2 linked regions of the Anolis sagrei genome follow. The protein of the gene in region 2 binds, or shares a complex with, the protein of the main gene of each other region. Links are inferred from orthologs where the notes say so. Each region holds a gene or a part of one and is shown on either strand. Other genes may lie near its edges.

Region 1 (7,546 bases), about 13 Mb from region 2:
CATCTGAGTCCACACTCCGATAATGTGAGATTTTCTGCCTTGATATTCTGGGATATAGGGCTGTGTGAAAGGGCACACAGTTAAAAGCAGATACTCTGGGTTACGGGGCTGTGTGGAAGGGCCCTGGTTTATCTGAGCCCACACTGCCATATATCCCAATCCAAAGCAGTTATTGTGGGATTTTATTCAGCTGTGTGGAAGGGGCCTAAGCTTATCTAGACCAGTGGTTCTCAACCTGTGGGCCCCCAAGTGTTTTGGCCTACAACTCCCAGAAATCCTAGCCAGTTTACCGGCTGTTAGGATTTCTAGGAGTTGAAGGTCAAAACATCTGGGGACCCACAGGTTGAGAACCACTGTTTTAGGGATTTTTGTATTCTTGGGGACCCACAGGTTCTCAACCTGTGGGTCCCCAAGTGTTTTGGCCTACAACTCCCAGAAATCGCAGCCAATTTACCGGCTGTTAGGATTTCTGGGAGTTACAAGGCCAAAACATCTAGGGACCCACAGGTTGAGAACCATGCCTTGGTCACCTCTAGATTGGACTACGTGGGGCTGCCCTTGAAAATGGCTCGGAAATTTCAGCTGGTCCAACGGGCGGCGACCAGGTTGTTAACTGGTGCTCCTTACAGAGAGAGGTCAACCCTCCTTTTTAAGGAGCTCCATTGGCTGCCATACATTTTCCGGTCCCAATTCAAGGTGCAGGTGCTAACCTACAAAGCCCTAAACGGTTTGGGACCTGCCTACCTGCGTGACCGCATCTCCGTATATGAACCCAAACGTTCCAGCATCATGTCCCAAACGCACTTTATTAGAGATTTAAGACTGTCTGCACATTGCACCTACCCTAGAATCCTTACATTTCACCTGTCATATCCAGCACTTTTTAACTGTACCCATTACATTTGGCCTGGCCCTAGTTTTTAAATGTGTCACGGTGTATTGTTTTATTGTTTTTATTGTTACTGCTTTTATGTTTTTGGTTGCTTTATGAGTTTTATTATGTATTTGTTATGCTGTTGTTTTACTGAGGCCTTGGCCTGTGTAAGCCGCATCGAGTCCTTCGGGAGATGTTTGTGGGGTACAAATAAAGTTAATAATGATAATAATAATAATAATAACTTAAAAAAATAAATAAGGAGAGAAATATCCCAGTTCAAAGCAGATATTGTGGGATTTTCTGCCTTGATATTCTGGGTTATGGGGCTGCGTGGAAGGGCCCTGAGTGCCAGGGATGCTTGAGAGCAGTACGTGTGAAAGAGATCTTGGAGTCCTCGTGGACAACAAGTTAAACATGAGCCAACAATGTGATGTGGCGGCAAAAAAAGCCAATGGGATTTTGGTCTGCATGAATAGGAGCATAGTGTCAAGATCTAGGGAAGTCATGCTACCCCTCTATTCCGCTTTGGTTAGACCACACTTGGAATATTGTGTCCAATTCTGGGCACCGCAATTCAAGAGAGATATTGACAAGCTGGAATGTGTCCAGAGGAGGGCGACTCAAATGATCAAGGGTCTGGAGAACAAGCCCTATGAGGAGCGGCTTAAGGAGCTGGGCATGTTTAGCCAGAAGAACAGAAGGCTGAGAGGAGATATGATAAAGGTAAAGGTAGTCCCCTGACATTAAGTCCAGTCATGTCTGACTCTGAGGTGTGGTGCTCATCTCCATTTCTAAGTTGAAGAGCCAGCGTTGTCTGTAGACACCTCCAAGGTCATGTGGCCGGCATGACTGCATGGAGCGCTGTTACCGGAGATATGATAGCCATGTATAAATATGTGAGAGGAAGCCACAGGGAGGAGGAGGAGGGAGCAAGCTTGTTTCCTGCTTCTTCCGAATCTTCCTCCAACCATTGATTGTTTTCTCTTGCCTGGCAGAAAGGGGTTGGACATGGATGGCTCATGGGGTCTCTTCCAACTCTATTATTCTATGATTCTATAGGTGGAACCTGAATAATTCCGAGCGTTATGCCCTTCAGTACGTGGAGCAAGCATACATCACAGAATCGGTGAGTGTGTCTGGTATATTGTCTAGTGTTGTCTTGCTACCTTGCGCCTCTAGAGAGGCAAGGGTGGGCTGGGGGAGGGGAAACTGGAACTTCTGTCACAGGGAGGAGGGAGCAAGCTTGTTTTCTGCTTCCCTGGAGATTAAAGACGTGGCTGTTCGAGAAGGCGTTCGAACAAGAAGTGTAATAATTGGCAATGACAACAGGAATGGAACAATGGAAAACGATATTGGTATTTTTGTATTGTTGATATTGAGATTGTGGATGTTGTTGATGACGATGTTTTGATATTGCTAGTTTGTTATTAGATTTTCTCTTGTAATTTGCACCTTATTCTCTCCATGTTGTACACCACTGTGAGTTGCCCCAGGGCTGAGAACAGCGGTCTATAAGCACAGTAAATAAATAAATAAATAAATAGGATGCGGAATAATGGCTTCAAGCTACAAGAGAGGAGATTCCATCTGAACATGAGGAAGAACTTCCTGACTGTGAGAGGCGTTCAGCAGTGGAACTCTCTGCCCCGGAGTGTGGTGGAGGCTTCGAACCTTTTAAACAGAGGCTGGATAACCATCTGTCAGGGGTGATTTGAATGCAATATCCCTGCTTCTTGGCAGAATGGGGTTGGACTGGATGGCCCACGAGGTCTCTTCCAACTCTTTGATTCTATGATTCTATGTCAGGCCCTTTGTGTGGACAAGGAAAGGTCTCCTCCTCCTCCTCTGAAGGGGAGGCAAGAGAGAGGGGGAACCCGCAAGGAGGGAAAAGAAAGCGGGCCAGAGCATCCGCTGCTGGGCCCTGATCTGCCTGATCAGCGCCGTCCTTCCCCTCACCAGCTTGAGGTCGAGCACGCCGTCCTTGGCCTCCTGCAGCAGAGACACGAACTTGGTGGTGAGGAGGCCCAGGCTCTTCTCGTGCCGGCTCGGGCCTCCCCCCGGCGGCTGGGCCCCCGACTCCGACGCCATCCGCCCGGCCCCGCGCCGCTTCCGGGATCCCGCTGCGGCCCCTCGCGCTGACCCTTCCGCCGCTTCCGGCCACCGCAGGGCATGATGGGAGGCGGCCAGAAAGGGAGGCGAGGGATAGGTGGAGCTCGAGGCCCCGCCCCCTCCACGAGGCCTCACCCCGCCCCCTCTCCACTAGGCCCCGCCCCTTCGCCTCGAGAGGAACATCAGCCCCGCAGCGACCCCTGCTGGGCGCCCGCGCTTTTCGCAGGCAGTCCCCTCTGAGCCGCGAGGGATTTTCAGGGACTGCGCATGCGTGAAAGTATTCCACAGTGTATTGTCGAAGGCTTTCATGGCCATTGAAATCCACAAGCATGTGGACAATTTCAACAGAAAGGAGGAAACCATGAAAATGAAGAAAATCTGGCTACTCTAAAATTACAACAGCAAAACAACAGAGGAAAAACAATCAGGCACATCTAATCACCTCTCAACAAAAGATTGCCCCAGGCACTGCCAGGCCATTAAATGCTAATAAAAGTGGTCTGATTGTTTTTCCTCTGTTGTTTTGCTGTTGTAATTTTAGAGCTTTTTGGATCATTACAGATAGGCCTGGTTGCTTTCCTGCAGATTTTAGGGATGTCTGTCGCACAAATGTAATGGGGAGCTTCTGGATTAATGCAAAATAAGCAATAAATCACACCTTATGTTTGTATGTATGTGTGTATATATATGCGCACGCATGCACCCTCATACATTTTGTGATTACAACTGATGCATATTTCCATAGTAGTAACTATGGAAAAACAATAAAAATACTTTTAAAAAAACAACAACTGATGCATATGAGGGTATCACAGGGGGTTAGCTTAACGTCTGGTTCGTTAGTAAAACTAAATTGCTGTATCACATCATGATACACGTCGAAGCAAGGTGAAATGTTTGGAAAGGTCTGACCTAGAGATCCCTATAGATCTCTAGATCCTCCACCATGACATTATGGACAATGCGCAGTGGAAATTGAACACAGAGTTGCCTTGGAAGGAGGACCAAGCAATTTTTGGGGAAAATATTTTGATGAATTAATCCAATCCACCACCAACCTGTAAACGTGGAGGCTCAACCGTATTTCTGATTTTGGAATTCTGGGTGATAATAATAACAGTAACAAGAACAATATATATATTTTTATTTATATCCCATCATATTTCCCTGAGGGAACTCAGGGTAGTTTACAACAGATATCGGCAAACATTCAATGTCATAATAGGATGAGCGCCGCTCAGCCTGTATTTGTATTTTGGCACCATTGCAAAGACCCAACAGGATTGGGCAATGCTGTTATTATTATTATTATTATTATTATTATTATTATTATTATTATTATTATTATTATATTTATTTACACCCTGCTTTCTCTCCCCTGAAGGGGACTCAAAGTAGCTTGACATCAAAGAATCAGCATCAATGCTAGTATCTCCTCGTTCTGTTGGAGGCTTTAAGCCCTTGGGAGCCACGAAAGGACGACCGCCACAGCCAAGGCGAGCAGCACCGCCGTGCACCAGAGCCAGTGCTTTGATGCTGCATTACTGCCCACCCTCCGCCCGTGGCCATGGGACCGGAACCACTGAACTGCATCCTCAAGGCTGTACTGCCGAGGCTCATAGCCCAGCTCCCTCTTGGCCTTCTCTGGGCTGAAGTAGTGGGTCACACCGGTCTTGTAGACCTCAGTGCGCGTGAGCAGCGGCTGGAAGTTGTATAGGTGCCGCACTGCCAAGTGAAGCATTTCTGTCAGGAATGCAAAGAAGTAGATCAGCGAGAGGGGGAGGCGGAGCGTGGGGAACGGGTAGCCCAGGCCTTCCACTAGTGGCTGGAAAAACTCAAAGTTGTTGACCGGCCGGCCATCGGAAATGAAGTAAGCCTGTCCAGCTGCCCGGTGCGCCTTGCTGGGCCCCAGAGCCTCTGCTGCCAAAATGTGTGCCTGCACCAGGTTGTCCACGTGCACAAAGTCCACCTGGCTCTTGGGGTCTCCATACACAAACCGGAACCATCCCCGCTCCACATAACGGACAATTCTGGGCAGGTGCCTCTGCTCTCCGGGGCCATAGATGCCAGCTGGCCGCAAGGCGCATGTATGCAGGACCCCCCGGCCAGCCCCCCGCAGAGGTGTCCCGTTGGCACCCAGCACCTCCATCTCGGCCTGAGCTTTGGTCCTGGAGTAGTGGTCGGGGTGCAGATGCAAGGGGAGGTAGGGCAAGGACTCGTCCCCACTGTGCACCACCTGACCCCCAAAGACCACGTTGTAGGTGCTGGTATACACCAGCCGCGGGACCCCTGCCTCTCGGGCTGCACGGAGGACGTTGCGTGTCCCACCCACGTTTACGGCTTCAATGCGCTTCCGGCTGAGCTGTTCCCGCCCGGACATCCCGAAGGACGCAACATGGAAGATGCAGGTGACCCCTCGGAGTGCTTGCTCCACCTCGCAGGGGAAGCGTACATCGCCGCGCACGAAACGCACACCTTCAGGCAGCTCTGGGGGGGACTCCGATGCGTCGAACAGGACCACGTCCACGCCCTTCAAGGAGAGGGAGCAGCCCAGCCTGCAACACAAAGAGGGAGGGAAACCACCTTCAGGACCAAGGCTCTCCCTTCATCAAAGCAGGGAGATTCTCCTGCAAATGCAGAACCCATTTTATTTATTTATATCCTGCTTTTCTCCCCCATTGGAGAGTCAAAGTGGCTGACAGCAAGGTATAAAACGTAACAGGTGTGTCTATTTCCATTTATTCCACACTGCACACCTCATGGGCCATCCAGTCCAACCCCATTCTGCCAAGAAGCAGGAATATTGCATTCAAATCACCCGACAGATGGCCATCCAGCCTCTGTTTAAAAGTTTCCAAAGAAGGAGCCTCCACCACACTCCGGGGCAGAGAGTTCCACTGCTGAACGGCTCTCACAGTCAGGAAGTTCTTCCTCATGTTCAGATGGAATCTCCTTTCTTGTAGTTTGAAGCCTTTGTTTCACGTCCTAGTCTCCAGGGCAGCAGAAAACAAGCTTGCTCCCTCCTCCCTGTGGCTTCCTCTCACATATTTATACATGGCTATCATATCTCCTCTCATCCTTCTCTTCTTCAGGCTAAACATGCCCAGCTCCTTAAGCCGCTCCTCATAGGGCTTGTTCTCCAGACCCTTGATCATTTTAGTCACCCTTCTCTGGACACATTACAGCTTGTGTCCAGCCTACAGGGACCTAAGTCCAAAAGACTTGAAGGGAGGGCCCAAGTTGGCCCATGCCTAGTCTCAACTGAGCACATGACGCTGTTTCAGAATGTGAGGATGGGGCCCAGGAAAGTCGCCCGAGCTCCCTCAGGAAGAGACTGCCTGGCGCTAGGCACACTGACCGGAAGCCAAAGTACCCGGCTCCACCGGTGATGAGGACCGTCTCCCGGGCGGGGGCGCGGGCCTCTTTCTCCTCCTTGTCCTCCTCCTCCGCCATGTCCAGCCTTTTGGCCCCGTCTGGGGACTTGTTGGCTCCTCCCATCAGCCCCTGCAAAGGGAGGTGAAAAGGGAAAGAGGAAATGACACGGAATTGAAAATGGAAGAGAATACAATCTATATAAATAAAAATGTAATGTTCGTTTGTGGGATTCACAGAACCTCAAAACCACTGGACGAATTGACACCAAATTTGGACACAAGACACCTAACAACCCAATGCATGTCCTTCACTCAAAAACATTGATTTTGTCATTTGGGAATTGTTGTTGCTGGGATTTATAGTTTACCTACAATCAAAGAGCATTCTGAACTCCACCAATGATGGAATTCAACCAAACTTAGCACACAGGGCTCCCATGACCAACAGAACACACTGGAAGGGTTTGGTGGGCATTGACCTTGAGTTTGGGAGTTGTAGTTCATCTACATCCAGAGACCACTGTGGACTCAAACAATGATGGATCTGGACCAAACTCTACACAGATACTCAATATGCAAACAATGATGGATCTGGACCAAACTTGGCACGAATATTCCATATGCCCAAATATGAACACAGATGGAGTTTAAGGGAAATAGACCTTGACATTTGGGAGTTGTAGTTGTTGGGATTTATAGTTCACCTACAATCAAAGAGCATTCTGAACTCCACCAATGATGGAATTGAACCAAACTTGGCACACAGAACTCCCCATGACCAACAGAACACACTGGAGGGGTTTGGTGGGCATTGGCCTTGAGTTTTGGAGTTGTAGTTCACCTACATCCAGAGATCACTTTGGACTCAAACAATGATAGATGTGGACCCTACTCTACACAAATACTCCATATGCCCAAATGTGAACACTGGTGGAGTTTGGGGAAAATAGAATCTTGACATTTGGGAGTTGTAGTTGCTGGGATTTATAGTTCACCTACAATCAAAGAGCATTCAGAACCCCACCAACGATGCAATTGAGCCAAACTTGGCACACAGTTCTCCCATGACCAACAAGAAATACTGGAAGGGTTTGGTGGGCATTGATCTTGAGTTTTGGAGTTGTAGTTCACCTACATCCAGAGAGCACTGTGGACTCAAACAATGATGGATCTGGACAAAACTCTA
Region 2 (7,685 bases):
TGGTGGAGAAGTGTATGTGGGTAGTGACTAAAGAACCTTAGCTGTTATTGCCTTGTATTTCTCTCCCTCGTTTCAGGCTTCATGGTCTGTCCTGGTCCCGTTTCTTTTCTTTTGAACGTTTTGCAATATTTGCCAGTTGTGTTCTGTGTAGTCCGGATTTTGCTTTCTTGTAGTTGAACAAGCGTCTTAAGAGTCCTTTGTAATTTATTGAATTACTTTCTATGATGTTCTATAGAGCAAATGGAAGTTTAATTATTTTTTATTAAACATATTCTTTGACAACCCATGATGTTGGCCTCAGTACATTACAAAGTTCAGTTGTACGGATTTGCAAAGCAGTTGATTCCTGAAGCCATTCACTATTTGGGGAATTTATTCATGGAATCGAAGAGTTGGAGGAGACCTCAAGGGCCATCCAGTCCAAGCCCTTACAATGCTTGAGTGCCAAAAGTTTATTACCGAAAATAACAGTAGTGTTCCAGTCTATTGCAACCTCCAAGTGTGTGAGGACTATGTCACTTAACCTTCCCAGTATGCATTTTCAATGTTTCTTTCCTTCCTCGATTTGTTCATAGACTTCCCTCTTTTCTTTCCTTCTTCCCTTGATATCCCTCATACAACTTATTATTTCTTCTCTTATTTCTTCTCTTCCTTTTTTTCTCTTCCTTATTTCTTCTCTTCCTTATTTCTTCTCTTCCTTTTTCTCTCTCTTCAATCTTTTCCTGTCTCCTTTCTGCTCCCTTCCTATATCCGTCTTTCCTTCCTTCCTCTTCCCTTCATTCTTTCTGCACTCCCTGTCATGATCTTCCTTCTGCTTCCCTTTTTCCTTCTTCACTCCCTTCCTATGTCCCTTTTCTTTTCTTCCTTTTTTCTTCTTCGCTCCCTTCCTGTGTCCCTTTTCTTTTCTTCCTTTCTTCTGCTTCCCTTCTTTTTTCTATACACACTCTTCCTGTGTCCCTTTTTTCTTTCCTTCCTCTTCTTTTTTTTTCTTCACTCCCTTCCTGTGTCAATTTTCTTCCTTTCTCTTCCCTTTTTTCCTTCTTCACTCCCTTCCTGTTTCTTTCCTTCCTTCCTCTTTCCTTCTTTTTCTTTCTTCACTCCCTTCCTGTGTCCCTTTCCTTCCTTTCTTTTACTTTCTTCACTTTCTTCCTCTTCCCTTTTCTTTCTTCAATCTTTTCCTGTCTTCATCCTTTCCTTTTCTCTTCCTGTGACTTATTTCTTCCCTTCCTCTTTTCCTTTTCCTTCTCCCGCATTCACATCATCTAGCAAAAGCCAGTCTCCTTCACTTCCTTTATTCCCCAGTCACCTGATAGAGAACCACTTCACAGAGCCACAGCCAATCTGCTTTGTTCCTTTCTTTCTCTGCTCTGGATCTGAAAAGAGTGGTTCTTTCAGTTCAAACCTCTCAAGTATTTTTAGGTTGGATCATGAAGGCAATGTGTGCCAAGTTTGGTCCTGATGCATCAAGCCCTGGAGGAGCCTTTGTGGTACAAACCAAGCAACACCAAGACACTTTGGCTTTTTATAGAGAGATTTAAGGCCTGATTGGTGTTTTTGGACTTCAACTCCCAGAAGCCCCATCCTTCTGGGCCTGTTGTTGTTTATTCATTGAATCACTTCCGACTCTTTGTGACCTCGTGGACCAGCCCACGCTAGAGCTCCGTCAGCCGCCATCACCCCCAACTCCTACAAAGTCAAGTCGGTCACTTCAAGGATACCATCCATCCATCCATCTTGTCTTTGGCCGGCCCCTCTTTCTTTTTCCTTCCATTTTCCCCAGCATCATTATCTTCAAGCTTTCCTGTCTTCTCATGATGTGGCCATAGTACTTCATCTTTGCCTCTAATCTCCTTCCCTCCAATGAGCAGCCGGGCTTTATTTCCTGGACTGGTTGGATCTTCTCGTGGTCCAAGGCACTCTCAGAACTTTCCTCCAGCACCACAGTTCAAAAGTGTCTTATCTTCCTTCGCTCAGCCTTCCTTATGGTCCAGCTCTCACATCCGTAGGTTACTACATGGAATACCATTGCTTTTAACTATGCGGATCTTGGTTGCCAGTGTGATGTCTCTACTCTACTCTTCACTATTTTATCGAGATTGGTCATTGCTCTCCTCCCAAGATATAAACATCTTTTGATTTTTTTTGCACCTAGAACTATAAAGTCTGTCACGGCCTCCACATTTTCTCCCTCTATTTTCCAGTTGTCAATCATTCTTGTTGCCATAATCTTGGTTTTTTTGATGTTTAGCTGCAACCCGGCTTTTGCGCTTTCTTCTTTCACCTTGATTAGAAGGCTCCTCAGCTCCTCCTCGCTTTCGGCCATCAGAGTGGTGTCATCTGCATATCTGAGGTTGTTAATGTTTCTTCCAGCAATTTTCACCCCAGCCTTGCATTCGTCAAGCCCCGCACATTGCATGATGTGTTCTGCATACAAGTTGAATAGGTTGGGTGGGAGTATACAACCCTGCCGTACTCCTTTCCCAATCTTGTACCAGTCTGTTGTTCCATGATAAGTTCTGACTGTTACTGTGGAAATTATCTATCAAACAGATGGCAAGCTATTTAACCTCAGCAGACTGAAAGCCAAAAACAAGGTTACAACAACATCTCTTATAGAACTACAGTATGCTGATGACGTTGTCTGTGTGCATTCAGAAGACCTACAAGCCACTCTAAACACTCTAAACATCAAATCACCTCTCAAAGAAAGATTCCCCCAGGCACTTCCAAGCCATTAAATGGTAATCAAGGTGGCCAGTTGAAACATTCCCACCTAGCTCCAACAGACAAGAGTCCTTTGTCCCACCCTGGTCATTCCACAGATATATGAACCCATTTTCCTACTTCCAACAGACCTCACTACCTCTGAGGATGCTTGCCATAGATGCAGGCGAAACGTCAGGAGAAAATGCCTCTAGAACAGTGTTTCTCAACCTGGGGGTCGGGACCCCTGTGGGGGTCGCAAGGGGGTGTCAGAGGGGTCACCAAAGACCATCAGAAAACATAGTATTTTCTGTTGGGCATGGGGGTTCTGTGTGGAAAGTTTGGTCCAATTCTATCATTGGTGGGGTTCAGAATGCTATTTCATTGTTGGTGAACTATAAATTCCAACAACTACAACTCCCAAATGGCAAGGTCTATTTTCTCCAAACTCTACCAGTGTTCACATTTGGGCATATTGCGTATTTGTGCCAAGTTTGATCCAGATCCATCATTGCTTGAGTCCACAGTGTTCACTGGATGTAGGTGAACTACAACTCCAAAAACTCAAGGTCAATGTCCACCAGACCTTCCCAGTGTTTTCTCTTGGTCATGGGAATTCTGTGTGCCATGTTTGATTCAATTCCATCATTGATGGAGTTCAGAAGGCTCTTTGATTTATGGTGAACTATAAATCCCAGCAACTCCAGCATTACCAAATGACAAAATCAATCACCCCCAACCCCATCAGTATTCAAATTTTGGGCGTATCGGGTATTTGTGCCAAATTTGGTCCAGTGACTAAAAATACATCCTTTCTGCATATCAGATATTTACATTACAATTCATAACAGTAGCAAAATTACAGTTATGAAATAGCAACGAAAATAACGTTATGGTTGGGGGGTCACCACAACATGAGGACCTGTACTAAGGGGTCGCGGCATTAGGAAAGTTGAGAACCACTGCTCTAGAACATGGCCATATAGCCTGGAAAACCTACAACAACCTCCCACTACTGCAGTGGTTCTCAACCTTCCTAATGCCGCGACCCCTTAGTATAGTTCCTCATGTTGTGGTGACCCCCAACCATAACATTATTTTCATTGCTACTTCATAACTGTAATTTTGCTACTGTTATGAATCGTTATGTAAATATCAGATATGCAGGATGGATTTTCATTCACTGGACCAAATATGGCCCAAATACCCAATACGCCCAAATTTGAATACTGGTGGGGTTGGGGGGAATGATTTTGTCATTTGGTAGTTGTAGTTGCTGGGATGTATAGTTCACCTACAATCAAAGAGTATTCTGAAGTTCACCAACGATGGAATTGAACCAAACTTCGCACACTGAACTCCCATGACCAAGAGGAAATACTGGAAGGGTCTGGTGGACATTGACCTTGAATTTTTGGAGTTGTAGTTCACCTACATCCAGAGAGTACTGTGGCCAAAAACAATGATGGATCTGGACTAAACTTGGCACAAATACTCAATATCCCCAAATGTGAACACTAGTGGAGTTTGGGGAAAATAGACCTCAGCATTTGGGAGTTGTAGTTGCTGGGATGTATAGTTCACCCACAATGAAATAGCATTCTGAACCTCACCAGTGATAGAATTGGACCAAAATTCCCACACAGAACCCCCATGACCAACAAAAAATACTATGTTTTCTGATGGTCTTTGGCGATCCCTCTGACACCCTCTCGTGACCCCCACAGGGGTCCCGACCCCCAGGTTGAGAATCACTGCACTACTGTTTTCATCCGGGAGCGCGAAGCTTTGTGGGAAATGTAGTCCGCAGCAAAAGTGACGGCATTTATTTTTTAAAAGCCCCCACAGGCGCGCCTGCGCACAAGCAGCGCGCTGATTGGCGGGAGTTCTACCCCTGGCACCCAATCAGCGCAGAGGACGGGAGGGGTGAGGTGTTTAGATTCGAACGCGGAGGAAGAAGGAAAAAAACAATCCCTCCCTTCCAGCGGCGCATGCGTGGTGAGCGGCAGTGCGCGAGCGCCATCCCCTCACGACGCCCCTCAGTCAACACCATGTTGGGCGGCGGAGACGACGGAGGGGGAGGCGGCGAGGGAGCGGCGGAGGCGCCCGAGGAGGAGGAGGAAGGGAAAGGCAGCCCGGAGGAGGATGAGGAGGAGGAAGAGGCGGAGGACGACGACGGAGACACCCGGCAGCGCTACGAGGAGCTCTGCTGCAGCCTCAACATGGACGAGAGGGCCCGGGCCGAGGCCTGGCTCAGCTTCCAGGGCATGAGGAGGAACTACACTCTCGAGGTGGGAGGGGCTTCTCGGAGAGGGGGCGGGGCTTGTGCCAGAGGGGCGGGGCCTTCCTTAATGGGGCGGGGCTTGTGACAGAAGGGCGGGGCCTTCCTTAATGGGGCGGGGCTTGTGCCAGGGGGCGGGGCCAGACTGGTTGAGGGAGGTCTGTTGTGATTGACATTAGACCCTCTCTTCCATACAAAACTTAAAGGAATAGGAGTCCTTTAAGTCATTATTATTATTATTATTGTTTGTTTATTTATTTCACAGTTTTCTATACCGAGCTTCTCAACCTCGTTGAGGGACTCAGCCCGGTTTCCAGCCATAAAAACAAACACTCATTAAAATACCATATATCACAGATTACAAAAACACTATATGTAAACACTATAGTGGTCAGTCGTCCTATTAAGATGGGTCTACATCAACTTCCATCCAGGGTCCTAAGGTGTTATCTCATTCTTGTTATTATTGTTATTATTATCTCCCCTCTTCTATACAAACCTGTATACAGTACCTGTAAGCCTGTTATTGTTGATATTGGATCTCCTCTTTTATACAAACCTTTAAAGAACAGTCGTCCTATTAGGTTCTTGTGGGTTTTTTCGGGCTATATGGCCATGTTCTAGAGGCATTTCTCCTGACGTTTCGCCTGCATCTATGGCAAGCATCCTCAGAGGTAGTGAGGTCTGTTGGAATTAGGACAATGGGTTTATATATCTGTGGAACGGCTGGGGTGGGGCAAAGAGCTCTTCCCTGCTGCAGTTAGGTGTGAATGTTTCAGCTGATCACCTTCATTAGCATTTGAAGGCCTGCCTGAGCCTGGGAAAATCTCTTGCTGGGAGGTGTTAAGATGTGCCTGGTTGTTTCCTCTCTGTTGTTTTGCTGTTGTAATTTTAGAGTTTTTTATAATAGTGGTAGCCAGATTTTGTTCATTTTCATGGTCTCTTCCTTTCTGTTGAAATTGTCCACATGCTTGTGTATTTCAGTGGCTTCTCTGTGTAGTCTGACATGGTGGTTGTGAGGGTGGTCCAGCATTTCTGTGTTCTCAAATAATATGCTGTGTCCAGGCTGATTCATCAGGTGCTCTGCTATGGCTGACTTCTCTGGTTGAAGTAGTCTGCAGTGACTTTCATGTTCCTTGATGCGCGTCTGGGCGCAGGCGAAACGTCAGAAGAAATGCCTCTAGAACATGGCTCTATAGCCCGAAAAAACCCACAAGAACCTAGTGATTCCAGCCATGAAAGCCTTCGACAATATATTATTTTCCCCAAACCTCACCACTATTCACATTTGGGCATATTGAGTATTTGTACCAAGTTTGGTCCAGATCCATCATTGTTTGAGTCCACAGTGCTCTCTGGATGTAGGTGAACTGCAACTCCCAAAACTCAAGGTCAATGCCCAACAAACCCAGTATTTTCTGTTGGCCATGAGAGTTCTGTGTGCAGTTCCATTGTTGGTGGAGTTCAAAATGCTCTTTGATTGTAGGTGAAAAAATCCCAGCAACTACAACTCCCAAATGACAAAATCAATCACCCTCACAACCCCACCAGTATTCAAAATTGGGTCAGGGGAGTTCTGTGTGCCAAGTCTGGTTCAATTCCATCTTTGGTGGAGTTCAGAATACTCTGTGATTGTAGGTGAACTATAAATCCCAGCAACTACAACTCCAAAATAACAAATTAACCCATCCACCCCCCATCCCACCAGTATTCAAATGTGGATGTATCAGGTATTTGTTCCAAATTGGGTCCAGGGAATGAAAATGCATCCTGCATATCAGATATTTACATTGCGGTTCATAACAGGAGCAACATCACAGTTATGAAGTAGCAACGAAAATAATGTTATGGTTGGGGGTCAACACAACATGAGGAAGTGTATTAAGGGGTCACAGCATTAGGAAGCTTGAGAAACACTGACTTAAAGGAATAGGAGTCCTGTTATTATTGTTATTATAATTATTATCTCCCCTCTTCTATACAAACCTGTAAGGAACGGGTGCCTGTTATTGTTGATATTGGATCTCCTCTTTTATACAAACCTTAAAAAACAGTAGTCCTGTTGTTATTTTTTATTATTAAATTCCCTCTTCCATACAGACTTGGTGGTGGTGGTGTTGATATTGGATCCCTTTTTCTATACAAACCTTAAAGGAGCAAAAGCACTGTTGTTGATCATATTGGATCCCTTCTTCTGTACAAACCTTTAAGGAACAGGAGTCCTGTTATTATTGTTATTATTATTATCTATATTAATAAAAATGTAATGTTCATTTGTGGGGTTAACAGAACTCAAAAACCACTGGATGAATTGACACGAAATTTGGACACAATACACCTAACAGTCCAATGAGTGTCCATCACCCATAAACACACGCGCGCGCACAAAACCCCAGCGAACAGACTTAAAAACCCCCAAAATACACCATATATACATATACACATACACTCATATACATATATACATGTATACATTCATACACACACATGTATATATATGCACAAATATACACATATACACACATGCACATATACATGCACACATATAAACACACAAATACACACACACACACACACACACACATATATATATATATATATATACGCAAACACACATATATACAAAAATATATACACACACATATACACATATACACAGACCGGGCCACAGCAATGCATGGCAGGGGATGGCTAGTTATTA

The links. Proteins that work in one complex are often made in the same cells at the same time.
Region 1: RBL2 (region 2) and E2F4 share a complex: the UniProt entries of both Homo sapiens proteins name them as parts of the DREAM complex. The link is inferred for Anolis sagrei from reciprocal best matches to the Homo sapiens genes RBL2 and E2F4.

What each region holds. Positions count from the first base shown.
Region 1 is NC_090028.1:21,145,712-21,153,257, forward strand, and holds the start of E2F4 (transcription factor E2F4), read right to left. Parts: upstream 3,049-7,546; 5' UTR 2,966-3,048; coding exon 2,834-2,965; intron 1-2,833. Other genes in the region: SDR42E1 (short-chain dehydrogenase/reductase family 42E member 1), read right to left, coding at 4,440-5,541, 6,345-6,484. UniProt on the Homo sapiens protein: Transcription activator that binds DNA cooperatively with DP proteins through the E2 recognition site, 5'-TTTC[CG]CGC-3' found in the promoter region of a number of genes whose products are involved in cell cycle regulation or in DNA replication.
Region 2 is NC_090028.1:34,141,401-34,149,085, forward strand, and holds the start of RBL2 (retinoblastoma-like protein 2), read left to right. Parts: upstream 1-4,676; 5' UTR 4,677-4,694; coding exon 4,695-4,994; intron 4,995-7,685. UniProt on the Homo sapiens protein: Key regulator of entry into cell division. Directly involved in heterochromatin formation by maintaining overall chromatin structure and, in particular, that of constitutive heterochromatin by stabilizing histone methylation.